3 linked regions of the Arabidopsis thaliana genome follow. The protein of the gene in region 2 interacts with the protein of the main gene of each other region in a pairwise test. Each region holds a gene or a part of one and is shown on either strand. Other genes may lie near its edges.

Evidence for each region. Proteins that work in one complex are often made in the same cells at the same time.
Region 1: the proteins of AT1G33110 (region 2) and CRK10 interact in a protein complementation assay, tested with the Arabidopsis thaliana proteins (one large-scale study listed by BioGRID).
Region 3: the proteins of AT1G33110 (region 2) and AT5G61520 interact in a protein complementation assay, tested with the Arabidopsis thaliana proteins (one large-scale study listed by BioGRID).

The regions. Positions count from the first base shown.
Region 1 is NC_003075.7:12,135,062-12,141,422, reverse strand, and holds CRK10 (cysteine-rich RLK (RECEPTOR-like protein kinase) 10), read right to left. Parts: upstream 3,429-6,361; 5' UTR 3,253-3,428; coding exon 2,418-3,252; intron 2,298-2,417; coding exon 2,160-2,297; intron 2,077-2,159; coding exon 1,958-2,076; intron 1,865-1,957; coding exon 1,654-1,864; intron 1,562-1,653; coding exon 1,324-1,561; coding exon of another isoform or gene 1,323-1,323; exon of another isoform or gene 1,192-1,322; intron 1,188-1,191; coding exon 1,037-1,187; coding exon of another isoform or gene 977-1,036; exon of another isoform or gene 961-976; coding exon 643-960; 3' UTR 501-642; downstream 1-500. Other genes in the region: CRK11 (cysteine-rich RLK (RECEPTOR-like protein kinase) 11), read left to right, coding at 1-226; EP1 (receptor-like protein kinase-related family protein), read right to left, coding at 5,421-6,218.
Region 2 is NC_003070.9:12,002,087-12,010,736, reverse strand, and holds AT1G33110 (MATE efflux family protein), read right to left. Parts: upstream 5,884-8,650; 5' UTR 5,654-5,883; coding exon 5,381-5,653; intron 4,165-5,380; coding exon 3,623-4,164; intron 3,290-3,622; coding exon 3,203-3,289; intron 3,096-3,202; coding exon 3,039-3,095; intron 2,953-3,038; coding exon 2,714-2,952; coding exon of another isoform or gene 2,697-2,713; exon of another isoform or gene 2,610-2,696; coding exon 2,491-2,609; intron 2,379-2,490; coding exon 2,292-2,378; intron 2,200-2,291; coding exon 2,119-2,199; 3' UTR 1,885-2,118; downstream 1-1,884. Other genes in the region: AT1G33102 (uncharacterized protein), read left to right, coding at 8,106-8,204.
Region 3 is NC_003076.8:24,738,526-24,744,426, reverse strand, and holds AT5G61520 (Major facilitator superfamily protein), read left to right. Parts: upstream 1-3,025; 5' UTR 3,026-3,251; coding exon 3,252-3,387; exon of another isoform or gene 3,388-3,585; coding exon 3,586-3,923; intron 3,924-3,998; coding exon 3,999-5,069; 3' UTR 5,070-5,401; downstream 5,402-5,901. Other genes in the region: AT5G61530 (small G protein family protein / RhoGAP family protein), read right to left, coding at 77-233, 349-593, 666-743, 836-934, 1,112-1,130, 1,216-1,278, 1,389-1,691, 2,002-2,022; AT5G61510 (GroES-like zinc-binding alcohol dehydrogenase family protein), read left to right, coding at 5,452-5,739. UniProt on the Arabidopsis thaliana protein: Mediates an active uptake of hexoses, probably by sugar/hydrogen symport.

The DNA of each region.
Region 1 (6,361 bases), on a different chromosome or scaffold from region 2:
TAATGAAGTCACTAGGTGCATCCATATCGCGCTGTTATGTGTTCAAGAAAATCCAGAAGACCGTCCAATGTTATCAACAATCATCTTAATGCTGACTAGTAACACAATTACTCTACCAGTGCCTCGCCTACCGGGATTTTTCCCACGAAGCAGGCAACTGAAACTGGTATCTGAAGGATCAGAGTCTGATCAGTATACAAGCAAGTCTTCCTCATTTAGTTCGTAAAAATTGATGTGGTTCCTCATCATAGCTTAAAAGTTGTAACAGAAAAATGGTCAGATGACATTTATATTATTTGTCCACGGACATAAGAAACATAGCAGGTTTATCTGTAATTGTATGTTGTACAGTGTCCACTGTAAAATGCTTATGAACAGTTCACAGTTCTTTAAGAATCGTTTCTCGATTACTGGTTTTACTCTCTTCATGCTGAATCAAATTACCTGCTAGATCGTTGTGTAAGCTTAATTTGGAGGGAAAAGTCACTGTTACGTCTTCATGGAGAAACGTGTAAATGGTATATATCTTATACTTGCTTGTGGTTACAATTACAATACAAACATTCTATAACAAAAGAAGTTTTTAACTTATTTTCAACACCAATAGATTCAGGAATCAGGTATGAAGGGAAAAACTCATCATCATCGAGGATGTATATCTGTGATGGATGCATCGTCAACAGACCCTAGAAGAGATTTGCTCGTTGTATCTGTATCAAGCGGGTCTTTTCCAATTCTACTCTGAAAGAAAAGACCGGGTTGCCGTGGCACGGGTAAAGTCACAGTGTTACTAGTGAGCATCAGAACAATGGTTGACAACGTCGGACGCTCAGCAGGATCTTCTTGAACACATAAAAGACCGATATGGACACATCGAACAACTTCATTCCTTTGGCAATTTTCTACAATAGCTGGATCCACGAGTTCTAATGGTCGCCCGTTACTCCAAAGCCCCCAAGCCTAGAATATTATTCAATCAATCAACACTTGCAACTATGTTCAGGTAAATATGGAACTTGATAGGTTTAAAACTTACATATGAGACCAAGTCATGTGCACCATCTGTTTGGTAGAAGCTGCTATTCTTCTTGCCACTTATAATCTCAAGAACTAACACTCCGAAGCTATAGACATCAGATTTCATTGAGTACTGACCATGCATTGCATACTCGGGAGACATGTAACCACTGTAACCCACAACAAAAACTATGTTAACCAAAGGATGTTCAGAAAACTTCAACTTATAAACCCACAACAAAAACTATGTTAACAAAAGAATGTTCAGAAAACTTCAACTTATGAGAAGTTATGAGGAAGACTTACTAGGTACCAACTATTCTGCTTGTGTTCTCTTCGGTTTGGTCCAATCCAAAGATCCTAGCCATTCCAAAATCTGCAATTTTAGGATTCATATCCGCGTCCAAGAGAATGTTACTGGCTTTGAGGTCACGGTGTATGATTGTGAGTCGTGAGTCTTGATGAAGATACAGAATCCCTCGAGCAACTCCACCGATAATCTTGTATCGTCGAGTCCAATCCAGCTGGCCTTTCTTTGCAGGGTCTGTCCACATCCATAAATCACAATGAGATCTCTAAACATTCGTAACCCCAAGTATCAAGAATCATTGAAACAAAGCATTAAATGCAACTAACCAAAGAGGAAGTAATCAAGACTTTTGTTGGGCACATACTCGTAGACCAGTACTCTTTCTTCTCCGTCTAGACAAAACCCAAGAAGTCTAACCAGATTTCTATGTTGTAGCTTTGCAACAAGAACAACCTCGTTCTTGAACTCTACTTCACCTTGTCCTGATGACTTTGATAGTCGCTTCACCGCAACTTCAGTCCCATCCGATAAAGTACCCTGTTGTTTTCATCAGCATCATCCCATTATCCAAAAGTGTTGGCTTAAAATTTCAAGAAAAAAAAAACACAGCTCAAGGGAACTATAATTTACCTTGTAAACCTCACCAAATCCACCTTGACCAATCTTATTACTCTCTACAAAATCATCTGTTGCAGTTTGAATTGTTCTATAATCAAGCTGTAGTGAGTCTGCTGTTGTGATATCATCTCCTGTTACACAATGAAAGTCTTTGAAGCAGGAAAAACAAGCTGAGCATTGACATTAAAGATCGTTTATCACTTGAAATCTTTACCAGCAAATGCAGATGGTGTGTAATAACTCTTCCTTGCCCTTCTTGTAAGGAAACAATAACCAGCTATAAAAAGCAGAACAGCCACTATAATAGGCACAACAATGGCTATCACTAACACCTTTGAATTCCCATCTTTTCCTGCATTTCAAAGATTATTTGCTTAAAAATCAGATAGAAGAAAACTCTCTATATTGGTTTTGCCAATTTCAAGAAATCAGGGCAAAAAAAAAAAACAGAGGAAAAAAACAGAGCTCTGACCAGATCGCGGAGGAGCTGAAACTGGAGGAGTAGAAATTGACGGTGGTGGTGGTGGTGGTGGAACGGCGGATTCGGTGTAAAACGCGTAGATCTCGTATCTTGAAGTACAGCTCGGATTAATAATTCTTGCACCAATTCTGTCAGTAGGTATTTGATTGATGACCAGTTGGAGACAACGCGAACAGTCTTGTCTCGTGAGATCAGGTGTGCACTGAACCAGTCCATAGAAACTCTGCAACGCAGTAAAATTGTTTTTTCTCGTACCGAATTTTTTGGAACTGTTCAAGGCTACGGTGGCGGCTTGGTTCAGAGTAGGCAAAACCAAATCACTTAACAGGTCTAGTTGGTTAGATGTCACATTCCGGGTGTTAACCAAGATAACTCCACCGGTGGTTATTAGTGTCGAGAGAATATTCTGGTTAGAGTATCTAAGTACACACTCATCGTAATAAAGTGTGGCTTCTTTCTGGTTAGGACACCGAGTTAAGGTGTCGTTGACGGCAAAGGAGACGCATCTACGGCAAACTTCCGTTGAGACATCTCCACGGCAGTTGAAAAGTCCGGTGACTCTGTCTGGAGCTTGGCCGACGGTGGCGTTTTGGAATCCGGTGGAGTAGGAAGCGTTGCGGGAAGAAAGAGAAGCCAAAAGGGTCTTGAGATTGTTGTTGTAAGTGCTGTTACTTGTGTAATTTGCCGTATTTTGACAGGTGTGGTATACGTAAGTGGGATCTTGAGCAGAAACTCTGAAACTCGTGAGAAAGGAGAAGAGGAAAAGGAAGAAGAAAGAGGAGTAATAAGACATAATTGGGCTTTCTTGATCTGTGTTTCTTCTCATCAAGCTTTGAGTGATATATGAAACAAATTTGATTGTTTGTTCTCTCTCAGTGACTACCGTAGATAACGTTTTGTGCTGACGAAAAGTCAAGGTCAAGGTCAACGCGTCTCGTATTAAATTGTCGGGTCTTGTCCAACTTCTTGTGTTTAGCTACTAATCCATTACTTATTTTTTTAATATATGAAATATAGAAAAAAATTACGGAAAATATAAAATCATTTTAAAATGAAGAAAATTATCAAAACTGTCAAAATTTAAAACATAATAACTCTAAATTCAAGCTTTGAACTCTAAAGTCTTTTTTTTTTTTGATCAAAAAAAAGGTAGTTGGGATTTTCAAGAGAAAATAAATGTAGCAGTTGGCATGATTTCAAAGATCTTAATTACTAGTAATAGAATTTAGATATACATGAGAGAAACTAGCTAGCAGTAGAATTTGTTTCGTACTTTTCCTTGAACAGAATTGTTGAAATTAGGAATCTTTGTTGACTATTCTTCAAAGAATCATTCTGGGGCTGAAAAAATTGTCGCCACTGATGCGAAGAAATTATTGGTTGATAATAGGTTTTTGTTTTAAGCACGATAATTTATTAATTTGTATATCGTATATGCTAGTATGGTTATTGTGATGTAGTGATACTAAAATAGTATTACCAAATCATCTGCCTATCGTTATCTGATATTGTTAGTTACTAATTATTCTATTACTTTTTATAGTCTTACTCGCGAGAAGTTAAATAACTTGATATTCCACATGACGTCGTTCCATATAATGGTTCCATCATAAGTCCTTTCGTGTTTTCACCCGGATATGAATCTACAGCATATAAGTTTTAATATTTAAAGTTAATATCGGAATATATAAACATGAATTTGCTATATGAATGTGAAATATTTTGACATCATCCGAATACAATGTGTTTTAAAACGAATTTTGCATCCATAAGCTCCATCTAGCTAGTTGCAAAGGTGAGAAATATTTCCTTTTTGGTTCTCAGCTTCTCATGACTATTCCAAAACGAGAAAAAAGGCAATCAAAATTTTTAAAGGCATTCACATATACATAAGGAAAGAGAAAATAAAACCGAGAAGTATTTTATGTTTGATGTATCTCCGATCCTAGTAAAGGCCCAAGATATTGATGCAAGGTATATGAGACCTAGCTCAGCCGTGATTTCTCCGTGAAGAAGACTCAGCTTTGTTAATAATTGAATGAGGCGGTGTATGATGCCAAAACCCTAGTTCGTTCTATTTGATTTTAATGATATTATTCAAAACCCTAGTTTTTAAAAAGTAACTAATTTTTTTTCGTTACTGCCAAGGAAAAACAATCGGCTTTTCATGCAACAAATCTCGTTAAAATTGGTTATGGGCCTGCATGTGAAAATGGAGCCAGAACCAGAAGAGGACTTGGTCAATGCATCGAGAACATTTGCGTAATATTCTTTTTTTTTTCTTTTTTAGTAGTTTTTAATCATCAGCGTAATCTAAGACTCCGACCAAGTCTTACACAAAACAAAAAGAAGAGAAGCTGAGAAATCTGACAAGGAATTAGAAAATGAAAAAGAAAGTTTTTTTCCATTAGTAATAACAGAGGAAAAACTTATGCTTCTGTTGGTTCTCCCTTGCATCTCGCTTTCCTTAGCTCATTTTTACTGTTACGGTGTTACGCACAACTAGAATAATCACTTGGAACACTCAGAATGTTGCAGCGGGCCAGTTCAACGATCAGACGAAGTAAACATCAAGATAGCAAGAGCAACCACTATCGACGACGAATTCAGTTTGTGAGGAAGAGCGTTGGTGTAGCTTGAGACACGTTTCAATCACGTGTAGCTAAAAATATCTAGATAATTGTAATAGAAAATAAATTAAATATTTTATGTATTAATTGGTTTAGTATGAGAAAAGCCAAAACATTGACCAAGTCTAAGATTAAGAAAGCTAGATGAGCAATTCACTATCAAAGACGAGAAGACTGAAGTAAAGACAAAATAAGAAGACTCATTAGCTGCTTCACAATCCTTATCTCTTTGATTGTAAGAAACTGAGTTACTTTATTTCGATGATACCAATTTTAAACGCAGAGAAAAAGCAACACGTCAATTTGTAAAGCAGAGCAAAACGAATTACAACTTGGCCAAAACTTCGACGTAAAAAGCAGCACATCAATTTGCTCTGCTTGGCGACGGTGGTGGTGGTGGAGATGGTGTTCCAATGGTAGTTTCGTTGTAGAACGAGTAAAGCTCGTACCTTGAATTACAACTTGGCCAAAACTGTCTTGCTCCAATTCTAGAAAGTGGCATTCTATTGATGGATCTTGTCAGACATCTCAAACAGTCTTGACTTGTAAGATCAGGAGTGCATTGAACAAGCCCGTACAAAGTCTGGAGTTCGGTCAATTCGGTCTTTATCGTAGAGAATTTTCTAGAACTGTTGGCTGCTTCCATGGCAGCTTGGTTCATATTAGATTGCACCAAAACTATAAACTGGTTTATTTGACTTTGATTAGGAGAAATAGTGTTGGTGTTACTCAAGATAAATTCTCCTTCGTTTGTAATGGCCGTCGATAGAATATTCTTGTCAGAGTATCTGAGTATACACTCCTCGTAATAGAACACAGCTTCTCTCTGACTTGGACACCTAGTTAACGCTTCGTCAACGGAGAAGGCAACGCAGTTACTGCAAACTTCCGGCGAGAGGTCTCCGCGGCAGAGGAAAAGTCCGGTGACCAGGTCGGGGGTTTGTCCCACCGTGACGTTCTGGAATCCGGTGGAGTAAGAGGCGTTGCGGGAAGCAAAAGAGGACAAAAGGGTTCTGAGATTGGTGGAGTAAGTGCTGAATCTTGAGTAAGTTGTCGTATTTGGACAATAATGATTTAAGTAAAAAGGATCTTGAGCGGAAGCTTTGAAGCTAGTGAGGAATGAGAAAAGGAAAAGGAAGATAAAAGAGATCAGAGAAGACATGGTGTTTTTTTCGACTTCGTTGATTTGAGTTTCACATCATGCAGCTTCCATTTATTAACGTGAATAGTTTGTGACGACCATAAGTCATCAATCAAAGTCAATGTAAACGATTTTTTTTTATGTCATTCCTTTTTATTAACAAC
Region 2 (8,650 bases):
TGGTGCTCTCTCTCCTTCTCAAGAAAAATGACGGCGTCAGAAGTGGGTCAGAAGTGGGTTTAAAAGTGGGTTTTACTAAGAGACTAATCAGAAGTGGGTTTAAAAGTACACCCATTCCTAGCCCAATAAAACTGAAGCCCAGGAAACACCCAAAATATATTATTGGCAATAACAGGTCATATATATGCCAATTAATATAATCAAGTACCAATAGAATGCATGCTATTCGGCTTTTTCTGGATTCGGGTAATTCGAATTAGAGAGTTTAGTATCCTTTCAGATGGATAAGATTAGATATTTATGTATTCGGGTTGATCGGGTTCAGATCAAATAGAGGAGTTTAGGATTTAATTGAGTAAATATATATAAAAATTGGTTCAGTTTGGTTCGGTCTATCAAGTTTAGGTCGAAAGAAAACACCATTGTCGAAAGAAAGCCGTAGCAAACCACCACTGAATTAGCCACAGATCGAGTCACCGTACCAAACGCAAACAACATATTATTTTCTCTTTGCTCTCTCTTCGATTTGCTCTCTCTCTCACGACGGCTAAAGGCAGAAACCCTAGTTTATGAATCGTCGGAAGCAATTTAAAGGTAGAGACGCAGAAACCCTAAAGCAAATGTGGGCTTATTAAAACTCAAAAGTGAGAAAAGTTTATTATTGTCATTAAGCCCATGGCCCGTTAATAATATTGTGTCAGAATTAGGCCTTTTGAACTTTCTGTAATGATGTAAGTGGCGCCAATTCCATTATTTTTGTTTCTACTTTTCACGTTTATTTTCTCTATTTTTTAGCTTTCAAAACTCTTTGTAATCATTTTCTTTTGTTGAATAAATTTGACATTCCAACAAAAAATTATTTACAAAAAAATTATTTAACTTGTATTAAAAAAAAGGTTTTATGAAAAAAAACCTTAAAATCGTCTATTTTTATAATTTTATCCTATACGTCCTAAAAATACAAAATAATACGCAATATAGTCCATTTTTTAATTTTACATATATTAGAATGTTTTCACGATCTCATACATTAGTTTTTGAGAATTCTGAAGATAAAGTTGAACTCCTTATCTAGAGATCTTTGATTTGGTATATTATTTATCAAAAAATTTAAATTTGACAATAGTGAAAAAAAGATTATATTGCGTATTATTTTGGACTTCATAAGATTATTTTGTATTTTTTGGACTTGAAGGATAAAGTTGTGAATATGAACCACTATGGAGTTTTTCTGTACAAAACTCTCTATCTCTCTCTCTAACTGATCTCATTGATTAAAGCATAAACCTTAGAAAATTATTCACTGGCCGCGTTTTAAAAAGTATAAAGAAGAAAAACAGAAACCCTAAAACAATGTCATGTGGGCTTATCAAAATCAGCCCAACTCGTGCCGAGAAACAAAATTCCTAAAATGAAAAATAAATAGATTATTTGCAACAAGCACATGGCCCGTTAATTGTTTTTTCTATATATTTTCAAACAAAGCCGACGGAGAAATAATTCAAGTTTAGTATCCAAACATTTATATCATTAAATAGTTTTCATAAATCATCAAAAAAAGTTTGTTAATTTATTTCTATTAAAAATATATATATGTTACAATTGCAGTTGTTAAATGAGACAAAAAAAAATTCAGTTCTATTAGTCAACAAATTTGTTTTAAATGTTTTAAAACCAAACTGTCACTATTTAGACTTTAGAGCATCGCTCTATGGTTTCTTACCATGAATATCTCAAATAGTACAAAATAAAATTGGTGTGATTTTCTATACTATTTGAGAAGGTCACCCAAATATTTTAATTTTTGTTATTCTTTTCACATAAATAGTAAATTTTTTATTTTTATTTTTATTTTTTTGGTTATAAACCCCAAAATAATTTTGTGTTTGATGAATCATAGCTAAATGTAACACTATCTAGTGTTAATCCAAAAATTAGGATCTCGTTTTCGTTTTTTGGTTAAACATTAGAATCTTATTACAAGTTAGTTGCGAGGACATCAAATCGACCCAAATTTGTCATATTCTTGTCTTCACAATCTTGGAACATAGCCTAAAAGTTACATTTTAGCTTTTAAGAATAAAATGTGACGGTGCTAAAGACAATCTAGAATCCAATTTATTCCTCTGATGATACTTGGTTTACGTCTCTAGATTCTGGTACAACCCACCGATTTAAACGTCTCAACGACGTTGACACCTAATATATTTGGCAACAAACGGTATAAGAATAAGCACCAAAAACATAGCTTGCTAGGAACAAATTAGAAAACATAGTAATCGATTTATAACCTGTTGATCCCAATCTGTTCTCAGAGTCATGACGGTAAGCACACAAGTCTGAACGAATATTCCAAAGAGCATTCCGATCCATACGCCCTAAGAAAATTTAGAGAATAACTTTTTTTATGTTAATTTTTTTACTTTCACACATTTTTGTTTTCAAGACCGTTATAAAGAAGGAGAAAATTATAAAGAAAATAAAACTTACTTTCACTTGCAAACCAACGACATAACCAAGGATAATACCAATAGGAATTCCGACAAGGTAATAGCAAGCAAGGTTAACGTAAGTAACATATCCTTGCCATCCAGCTCCGACGGCAACTCCTGTTAAGGTTAAAACCGATCCAAGACACATAATATTTCAAATATCGGTTTATATTCGATACTGTAATAATAACCATCTCGCGCCAACTAGCTAATATACATACCAGAGAGAACGGGTTGAACACTATTCATGAGGATGGAAAAGGCTAAAAGCGGAGAAAGATCGGCAACTTCGGCTGCGACAGCTTCACTTGTAGTGAAAATGTAGGAAACTCTTCCTCTCAGAAACAAGAAGACGAAGAATAGAACTATTCCTAAAGAGAGTGATGTGAAAACCGCGGTTAGTGTTGCAAACTTGGCTCCTTTGGGGTTTCCACTACCGAGCTCGTTGGACACTCTTACGCTAGAGAAAAGACAAGGAAGAAGACCGATACATAAATAGAATTAATAAAGTGAAGTGTATATGTATGAATTAATATATGTATGTACCTTGCAGCTGCCAAAAACCCAAGTGCTATCATCATCTCCAGTCCATTTATGTTGAGGCTATATAAAATAAATGGTTAAGAATAGTTTATTTACGCATACTACATTTTAAATAAAATGAATAGATGTTTGAATTAATCGGTATTGGTCATGTCGTGTTAGTTTACCAGATTGCTAGTGCATCAAGAGCCACTTCTGCGTTTTTCAAATTTCCAGTGAGCAGTACCAAGATTGAGTTGTACCATAGTTCCAAGCTGCCCAAAATAACGGCCATAAAGTGATAATTATTATTGTATAATCATAAACTTCTCAATATGCGTACATGTAAATATAGTTTAGTAAGGTAGTCTACTTATACGACATTGATTATTTCAAACTGTCAGTCTTTGAAAGTCATTCCTAGTAAGTAAAAAACTTAAGAGCATGTGGTTTTGACTTGACTCTTACTAGTTTAATTAGAAACTTCATATCACCTACATGTAAAGCTATTCATATGAATTTCTATTGTAACCAAAACTTTAGGATCAAATCCTAGACTAATTGATAATTATATGGTTTGCTGCTTAAAAAAATAGAGGAAACCTTACCAAAGCATTCCACCGGAAGACATAGAAAGTTTGAAGACGGGCCATAAATCTTTGAAGGCCATCATAGAGAATCCTCTCCATGTGTCCTTACACCCACCGCACGTGACGAACAAGAGTTGGGCAATATTAGGCAACCAGAACGCAACTAGCGTAGAGGTCATAGCACCAGTGATCCCAAAATTGAAATGAACCATAAGTAGCCACGACAAGAAGACATGGACCCCTAAGGAGACAGCAGCCACGTAGGCAATGATCTTGTTCTTGCTCTGAGCTTGGAGGAACATTTGGCAAGTGAAGGAAGGCACAAAAGAGAAGTTGATGCCTATGACCCATAGGGCTATGATCCGAGCCACACGGACAATGCGTTCCTCTTGACCTAAGGCTAAGAGGATAGGGCCAGAGAAGATATAGACGGGCGTGAGGCAAATGGTACAACCTGTAAGGACGATCCATGACCTTTGGAGGTAGATCCCGAGCATATGATTTTGTTTAGCTCCGTAGGCTTGACCACATAGTGTTTCCAATGCACTGGCCATACCTAACTGCATTACGGTTCGTTATTACACGATAGTTATAATAACCAAAGTTGAGACATCTACATAGCTTCATAATAAATGTTAGCCAAAATAACATTCCATACAAAATCATTCAAGACCATATAAACTGAACCAAATTTTGATGAGTATGTAAAATTATCAGGATCTAGCTCAAACGTTGTTACAGTGTAGTGACTTGACTTTGATTAGAAGGTATATAAAAAGAGTTCAAAACTTTCTTTTTGTCTGATAGTTCAATAATTAGATCCTATTTGTCTCTCTTTTGGCTCTTTATGGCGTCTAGTGTATGGCTTAAAAGCTTCGACAAAATTTTGATATGATGGTACTTTTGGAGTTGTATACTGAAAACATGTAAAATATGAAACAACTTTTGATTTTCAGGGTGGAGAGTGGTTACGCCTCCTAAGTGGACTGCCATTGAAAAATCTTGTCAAACTTGTCTTCCCAAAAATAATTTATCAACTGCAATACTTTTCCTACACCTTTTCTTTTAAGGTTATAGTATAATAAACCCTTCTCTTTTTCTTTTTCTTTTTGTATAATAAACCCTTTAACTTTTTAAAAACTGGTATAGAATTATTTCTCTACTGCATTATTCTACAAAATTGTGGAAAATACGAGAAGAGACTACAAATTTGATATGTGGTTCGCAAGAAACCACCGCATGTTACGTCAAGCAGTGTCAACTGTCAGGACTCACATGATTTATGTTATTTCAATTATCCGTCAAAAGGAACCATTTATAAATTACAATCAGTAGTTCTGTTTTTTCTTTTTCTTCTTAATTCTGACCAATCAAAAACATGCTGTGCTTTATTATTGAGTTTTGGAAGAATTAATTATATTTCTGATTTTTCATTTGTTAGTCAATAATATTTAATGTGCAACAAAAGGAATTGTTGAACAGAAAAAAAAGAGAAATTATTCTTTCCCGAAAAAAGACTTGTCATAATCATTTTTCAATGTTTTCTTTTCTATTTTCAGTAAGGTACCACAATTTAATTTATTGCATAGTTATGCATTCTAAGGCAATCACCGGTAAATAGATTAATGAAAAGTTATTTCTAAGGGTTATGACAAACAAAAAACGCGTTTAATTTATGAATGGTCAGTAATAGTATCACGAAGATTTCAATGTTTGAAGAAATGATTTAACTTGTTGGTAAAAAAATTGAGAGTAATAATTGAAGAAAGTACTCACCAAGATACCATTACTAAACCGGAGGAGAACGGTGAAGGTGATAGAGTAAGCAGCCAACTCTATAGGACCAAGATGGCCGATGAAAGATTGACTTATTATTGAAACTCCGAACGTTGAGAATCTCGTGAAGATCGCTGGCGCCGCCACAATCCATAGCTTCTTTGATTCAATCCAAACCTTTTGCTTCAACCCTAACTCATCCTTCTCTTCTCCGCCGTTCTCCGCCGTCTTTTTCAACAAAGCCGCCGTGAGCTCTCCTCCTCCTCCGGCCATCTTGGAGTCTCTGTTGTTGTATCTGATGGAGGACCAGAGGGAAGGAGGGAATAAATAAAAGAGAGAAGGCAGAGAAAAAGAGAGGAGACTAGAGTGTTTGTGTATGAATTGGTTTATGAGAACAACTCTGTTTTTTTTGTTGTCTTTATAGATTAATGTTTTTTTGTTTGCTTAAAAATCGTCATTTTTATTGGGAAACGAAAAGCCGTCTACGCCAAGCAGCAAGTAGCAGTGAGTGGTTTATAGACACCTAGCTAAGATATCTTGCATTTTATAGACCATTTATTTTGACTAACAAACCTACCTATGTTTCATAATATAGAAAATATATAATAATGTTTTAGTAAACAAATTTATTATTTGATATTTGATTCAACCAATTATAAAATACAAATAGTCATGTATTGAAAGTTGAAACTTATAAAACATTCTAAGAAATAAAATAATTAAATCATTCTATATTGTTTTATATAATAAAATAGAAAAACTAACAATTATTTAATTTTGCTACACCATAAACCATAAAAAGACAAGAATCAAGTCACGAGCGTATCGAACTACTACTATTGTCACATTTTTCTGCTAACAAGATTGGTAGAAAGACTTATTTCAGTTAAAAAAACTCTTTTTTTTTTGGGGAGCAGGCGATTTCCGTTAAACCGAAAATAAAATCTTGCAAAATACAAGAGAGTTTCTTTTCTTTTATCTCTTCTAATTTTTCAGAGAGAAGAGGCTCTATATCGTCTGGGTTTATTTTCGGATTTATTCGGACTTATAAATATTACTAGTATGAAGCCTGGACTACGTTCGGGACAAAAATAATTTGATAAAAAATAAATTCTTTTGTTTGAAAGCGTTATCTTTAGTGTGTCCTGTGTAAGATAACTTTTTTTTAGAAAAACAGGTAAAAGCATATTCTTTTTTGCCCAAAAAATAAAAAATAAAATATATATTCTCTATATAGTCTATTCGTCGTACAATTTCAATAATGCCTAACTTCTAAACCTCATAACTCGAAATTTCCAAAGTTCTAAAGATTCTAGCATAACAAAAATCCAATGGTCCATAAATTTGTAATCAATCCAATTCTATTGAAGATTCAATTGCATGAGAAAACATGTTTTACAACCTTATGGATATCTTTTTCTTCTGTTTCTGTTTTCCTTTGTCGTATAGTCTCAGCTTTTCAGATATATGACTCTTGTGTTCATCTATATCACCATTTTAAAACTGAAAAAATTTTGGTTTTCTCTAGTGTATATCAGTACATCTTGTGCTTGTATGGCTTCGTTTTTTGTTTTACTGTGATTTCACAAAATCAAAAAGTCAATTTGTCTAGCACTATATTTGAGTTTAAAAATATAAGATCAACTATTTTTTTAAATAAAAAATAAAGGAAGAACTAATTGAGAATTGATAACCTTAGCATGTCATTGGGTTAGTCATGACTCATGATCGTGTAAGAGTTTTATTTTTCTGAAAATGTTTCACACGGGATCCTGAAAACGAAACCCATGTCGTCTTAAAGTCAGATTCTCAAACACTTTCTCTTGACAACATTAATAGCCAACAATGAGATGTGATTAGATGAAAATTGTAATAATTCACAAAGTATAAAGAAAATGATGTTAAAACTGAAAGCCAAAACAATATATGGAAAACTGAAAATTATAATAATTCAGAAATTTTACAAATTTGATACCTTAATTGAATATACAGTCGTTGTGGTTGACCTCTTCTTCAGCCATAACTGACCTCGAATGAGAAGGGAGAGTGAGATGAATTTTGGTTTGAGAATGGCAAGCAGCAAAAAAAATGTAAGGATTGTTAATCTGCCATGGCGTCATGGTGTAAAGCAGGCGGAAAAGAAAATAACTGATCCGAATGTGAAAAATTTGAGATTCGTAATTAGAAAATTGCATAGAAGATGAAACAACATAAATTAGCAATAACTGTTGCAAGATATGGGGAATGGGGAAGATAGTGATGAAGATGGCGAGAAAGAAAGAAATAAATTATGGATTAAATCTCTTTAATAATTTATGTTAATGAGAAAAGAATTATTGTTTTACGCTTCAGAAAAATCAAAACTCAATAAATTAAGACTTTGCTTACGTGTAAACAGGAGAATGTTGCAGTTTGTGATAAAGTGACTGTTGATTTAGTAGATATAGATTTATATTAGATTTAAATAAGTTTTCGACTTCTAGTCGGATGTCAGTCTACTAGAGTAGTCCGGTTTTTGTTTTCTCGCGACGGCGAGACTAATCTCTTGTCCAACTGCCCCTCGAGGTTCATCCGATCCTCCCAATCATCTCGAGGAGTAATATCTTCATTATCTTTCTTTGTTCGTGAATTTGGAGCAATGTTTCGACTGCATCAGTAAAGGTGTTGTCTGTGATGGAACTTCCCAGGAGTTGGATTTGCTCGGAGAACTCTTGAAGCATACCATATGATAGATCTGGAGGTTCTCGGCGTTTACGGCTTGGGTTCGAGATCGTCAGACAGGAGGCAACCACCCATCGCTCCACGACGGATCGACGGTGGCTGATCTAAGGCGGTGATGTTTGGCGAGAAAAACACGGCAGCGCTCGATCAACTGATGCGTGGCTTGATGAAGCAGAAGACTTCAACACGTGTCAGCATCTAGGTTTTCTTAAAACTTAGGTTGTATTTTCATTGTAGTAATTGGGCTTCCCTCTGTAGTAGTCCTTTGAACTTTCTTAATGAAATATGGTTGTAAAAAAAAAAATTGGTAGAAAGACTTAAGAAATTAAATTATTTAAGATATTGTTATATAGATTAGAGAATTCTCCCGAACAAATATTATTTGTTCTGTTTGTGAAGTCTCGTTTAATCTTTACATTCTGGTTCAATCCAACGGTTCAATACCACAACTATTCTTCTGATCCAACAAAGATATGTATTTGTTTTTAAACCCAAATTAGTGGTTGATACCAATTTGGCATTTAAATTTTAATAAATAATTGTAGAAAA
Region 3 (5,901 bases), on a different chromosome or scaffold from region 2:
TAACCATGAAAGAGAAGAATGATCGTAATGAAACTGTGCTTCAAAGAGTATAGGAGCCAAGTGTTTTTGTGTTTACCTGAGAGCAAGTCCCATGGAGTAGCAGTTTCAAAGTCGTTACTTTTCTTAGGACTCCTTGACGGGCGTCTCCAGTATTCCCGATAAGATTCAGGCCTGTTGTCTTCTCGCCACATGATCACTGGAGCCATTTCCATAGCTAGGCTATGCGAATCCATCTGCAAAATGCAAACAAATGATTCCCAATATTCAGATAACTTATATGATTCCTGAAAAAAGGATCATCTTAAGTATCTAGAATCAGAGATTAGTGTTATAACAACTTATTCCCACTTTGTTAAGAAGTGATTTCTGGCTCACACGAAGCAATAGCGCTGTTATGAACTCCAATGTATTATAATTCACATTGGAAAGCTTCTGGAGTGACTGTCTCATTCTGTGTATGCTCGACCGTGCATCTTTGATTTCATTATAAAGCTCAAAAGTAGTTAGTGGTGTCGGAAGGCTAGCAAGATAGTATTTCAAGAGTGCAGCGACATCAACTGGATTCACACCCTCAGGTATTGACGCCCTAGGATCTGCCAAACAAGTGATTCAATTAAATGACAATTTCTCCATGAGCCATAAGAGTCGAAAAGAAATCTTGCTACCTTGATTGTAAGCAGAAACCAATTGTTGAATCAACTTTCTATCTCCTTCGGCCTTGAACAAGTTCGGTGAATTAAGTCCTGGGTAAGAGGAAAATATCACATTGATAACTCGATATGAGAAGGTGTGAGCAATAAAAGTGTTATTGCTCCATTGGTCCAAACATTATTACCTGTTAATATGAGATAATCTGCGCATTTAACTAGTATCAGAGGAATAGGCCTGCTTGACTCCTGCCGCTGGACAGTGATCTCAATCGCAACACCAAACACTGAGTGCCAAAAACATTTGTCATACAGAGAAAGTCACAGCATTTCAGACACGCAATCACTAATAGTTATCTCAAGAACGGTAATATAATTAAGTATCCCCACATCAAAGAATCCATTGAATTTTCGATTAACAAACGTTTAAACTGTAATCTCTCCATATATTGCGATCAACTTACCATCTGAGCTGGCAACTCCCTGCAGAATTACAAAGAATAGATATTAGAGACCAAACTCAAATCAACGGCATACAATCAGATTTCAGACTCTAATAGTCAAATACCTTTTGCCACCTTTCGATATCCGTCAAAATGGTCTTGCTCTTTTGTGCAGTCTTTTTGGCCGCCTAAAGAGAAAACATGGATACAAAGAATTTAGCTGTCAGAAGTTAGAAGAATGAAACGAGATACATACATTCTTGTCGAGTAACTTCGAGAAGCTATGTGTCTAGAATACCTCTTCCACTTTGATCTTTCCAACAGAAACCTTTTCCTTTGTCTCAGTTATACCCTTCCTGACAAAAGTCCCGGTTGTGGCAGCAGCTGTTATGAGGTGTTCTTGCACGGCATGTCTAGTTGCAGGCTGCTGAAGAATTGCCCACCGGCTTTTAAACAACGACCCAACTCTTTCTGCAACATCTGCAACATTCACTTTCGCATCCTTAGCAACTTCCCCGACAAAACTACCAGCAGTCTGCCCTGCTTCCCTAAGCTTCGTTCCTAATTCAGTAACTCCATAGTAAGCTTTCCACCATAAACACTCACAGAGAGAAACGAAATGAGGTTAGCATAGAAATTATCAAACCTGATGAAGAAAAGAATCCACTAGTCCTCTCCTGCCATTGCTGTGAGATGAGAGAAGGCATTATCCAATACCAACCACTTTAAACAAGTCACTAGAAACCTGTTTGCATCAAGAAACAAATGGGAAGATATATACTTATTCTTAGCAAATTATGATACAACCTCACAAGCGGTATTATCCGTTGTAATCAACTTCATCACATGAAATCATCTTCAATCTAATCATATACAATTGATACAGAAGAAACACAAAAGAAAACCAAAACCTTGACTTCATCGTCAACCATGGAATGAATTTCTTGACAAAGAATAAAAACCAAGTCTTTAACTGCCAAAAGGAGATAACTTTTAAGGAACACAAACCCTAATCCTATATTCTCTAATCAATCATATACGAGAATCAAAAAGAACAAATAGAACAAAAGCAATCCGATCATCAAACCTTTAGAACAATCCCCAGAAAAATTGAGATAGCTGATGATCGAATCGAACTAAACCCAATTCCTCGATACGATCAAAGACGACGAAGACGAGAGTCAGCGATATGATGAAAAAGAAATTGATCGCTCCAGGAGATGAAAAGGTTCCACTTTTTTAATTTCCCCCTGGAGCAGAGAAAAAAAGATATTATTGCTGTTTAGGTAAAAAAAAAGTCGGCTTTGAATTTTGAATAGGAAAGTCTTCTTCCCTTTGCAAATCACAGATATTCTCTCCGTCACGGACTGTGACGGTAATAAATATTCTGTTGGTGCCACGTGTAATAAGTTTTTCTCTTCACAAAAATGGTCCTTCATCTTCTTTTAGTATCTCATTTGTGACCTAAGCTTCTAATTTCACAGCTTATCATCCCCTTAATGTTTTAAGTTTTTTGACCATAGAGTAAAATTATTTTACTATAAAATTAAAAGCAAAAAATAAAATTTACTATAAAATTATAATTATAAAAAGTGAATGTAAAAATGATTCCATAAATTTACATGATTGATAGTAATTATTCTGCCAACTTAATTCCACATGTATATCAGTATTTATATATAGAAAATGATGGTTTTTCTACATAGTCAAATTCCAAAACAAAATATCAGTATTATGGAATTAAACAATCAAAGTTTGCAACTTGGTATGTCCAATATCATCGAAAGAGCTTTATCATTCAGTCGTTGAAAAAAGTATAGCCATCTTTTTCTTCTATCGATTTTCAAAAAAAAAAAAAAAAAAAAAAAAAAAAAAAAAAAAAAAAAAAAAAGAGGAAGATAATGAAGGTAGGCAGTGAAAAGTCTTTCTTCACATGTCTTTTATTGTCCACTTTCGATATCTCATCAGCCAGAACCGAAACAAACAAAAACTATAAGTCCCACACTCAAGTCAATTAAAGCACTCCAATGGTCCAACAAGTTTCGTCGTCTACCTTGAAACTCAACCTTTGGATGATTGATATACAAAAATACAGGATCTAAAAACACCTACCGAACTTGAATAGTAGGTGTGTTGTGTTTGAGTGTCTCTCTAGGTAAACATGGTAGCAGAAGAAGCAAGAAAAGAAGCCATGGCTAAATCAGTATCTGGCGGGAAGATTACTTATTTTGTGGTGGCTTCATGTGTCATGGCCGCCATGGGCGGTGTCATCTTCGGCTACGACATCGGGGTTTCAGGTTCACATATATATTCTTGCTAATTAGGATATATATGTTCTTTCTTTTTTTTGTTTGTGTTTGTGTTTGCGTTTGCAAAAAGAATAAATCATATTTTTGAAGTAGAAAACATTTTAGTTTTTCATAATATTTAAATGAAATGTTGTGGTTCTCTAAACCTAAACATAAATGCAAACATGTAACTATATAAATATGTAGGTGGAGTGATGTCAATGGGGCCATTTCTAAAAAGATTTTTCCCAAAAGTGTATAAGCTCCAAGAAGAAGATAGAAGAAGAAGAGGCAATAGCAATAACCACTACTGCCTTTTCAATAGCCAACTTCTTACATCCTTCACATCTTCTCTATACGTTTCCGGTCTCATCGCTACTCTGTTAGCTTCGTCCGTGACTCGTTCATGGGGTCGCAAGCCCTCTATATTTCTTGGCGGTGTGTCCTTTCTCGCCGGCGCTGCTCTTGGTGGCTCTGCTCAAAACGTTGCTATGCTCATTATTGCGCGTCTCTTGCTCGGCGTAGGAGTTGGATTCGCTAACCAGGTAACAAAAGACAAGTTGATTAATGATGTTTCAATTTTCTCTGTATGTTGACTGGTTTGTTGTTTTATATTTTAGTCGGTTCCTCTGTATCTCTCCGAGATGGCGCCGGCAAAATACAGAGGAGCAATCAGCAATGGTTTCCAGCTCTGTATCGGAATTGGATTTCTATCTGCAAATGTAATAAACTACGAAACCCAAAATATCAAACATGGTTGGAGAATCTCTTTAGCCACAGCTGCAATACCTGCTTCAATCCTCACTTTAGGATCACTGTTTCTCCCGGAAACGCCGAATAGTATCATCCAGACCACCGGAGATGTTCACAAGACCGAGCTTATGCTTCGCCGTGTCCGTGGAACTAACGACGTTCAAGATGAGCTTACTGATCTCGTTGAAGCGAGTTCTGGTTCTGATACAGATTCAAACGCGTTTTTGAAACTGCTTCAAAGAAAATATAGGCCTGAGTTAGTGATGGCTTTGGTGATACCTTTCTTTCAGCAAGTTACTGGAATCAATGTTGTTGCTTTCTACGCACCGGTTTTGTATAGAACCGTTGGGTTTGGAGAGAGTGGTTCGTTGATGTCGACCCTCGTGACTGGAATCGTGGGAACCTCGTCGACGTTGTTGTCGATGCTTGTCGTTGACAGAATCGGTAGAAAGACTCTGTTTTTGATTGGAGGGTTACAGATGCTCGTGTCGCAAGTTACCATTGGTGTGATCGTTATGGTGGCTGATGTTCACGACGGTGTGATCAAGGAAGGGTATGGTTACGCGGTTGTGGTTTTGGTGTGTGTCTACGTGGCCGGGTTTGGTTGGTCTTGGGGTCCATTAGGATGGCTTGTACCGAGTGAGATTTTTCCGTTGGAGATAAGATCGGTGGCGCAGAGTGTAACTGTGGCAGTGAGTTTTGTGTTTACTTTTGCGGTGGCTCAAAGTGCACCACCGATGTTGTGTAAGTTTCGAGCTGGGATTTTCTTCTTTTATGGAGGGTGGTTGGTGGTAATGACGGTAGCGGTGCAGCTGTTTTTGCCGGAGACTAAGAATGTTCCAATCGAGAAGGTGGTTGGACTTTGGGAGAAGCATTGGTTTTGGAGGAGAATGACGAGCAAGCGTGATATCCAAGAAACCACCATTCTTAGCCATTGAAAACAATAAAAAAACCAGCACCTCATGATTTGAGATGAGACGCATCTTTTGTTGCCAAAAAAATTATTGCATATAAGTTTTAAAATTTTCAAAGTTCAAACTAAATTAAGGATATTTTTTTACTATTCACGTAACAATAATCAAATCACATGATCCAAGATTCGATTATTGTTCAAATTATTTTGTAAATTTAGCCATAGTTTCATTTTTTCACTTATATGTTTGTGAAATAACGATTTGTGTTTGGAATTAAAATTAGGGGTGTTTTATAAATATAGTAAAACTAGGATAGTGATAATGTAATATATTGAACGTTAAAGGACAAAGATGGGAAATAGAAAATAAAGTTAGGAGGCAGAGAAGAAATGGGGGCCATAAGAAAATGGCAGCATTGACTCTTCATCATCATCATCATCATCGTCATCACTCGTGTCTTCAAGCGTCTGGACATCTGTCACGTCGTCTATATCACCGAATATTCTCGAGCTTTCCACGAAATCCCGTCAAAGATCTCAACTTTCGTCTAAGTCTTGCCGATTTCTCGAGTTTTTCTTTATCTACACGTGGCACTGTGTTTGCTGTAAGAGCTCTGAGTACAGTCGCGGTAGAAGAGTCGTCCGAGAAGAAGATGGTGAAAGGGATTAGGGTTTATGAGCATGGCGGTCCTGAGGTGAGTAAAAGATTCGATTTTGAAGTTCCGGGTCGGATTTGGATCATTGAAATCAAATTAGATTGCGATTGTGTCTGTTTCTATGTGCTCGTGTGATTATAGTTCAAATGATTTGAGATTCCCTATAAGCTTCAGCTTTTTTCAATGGCTAGTTTTCCAGGT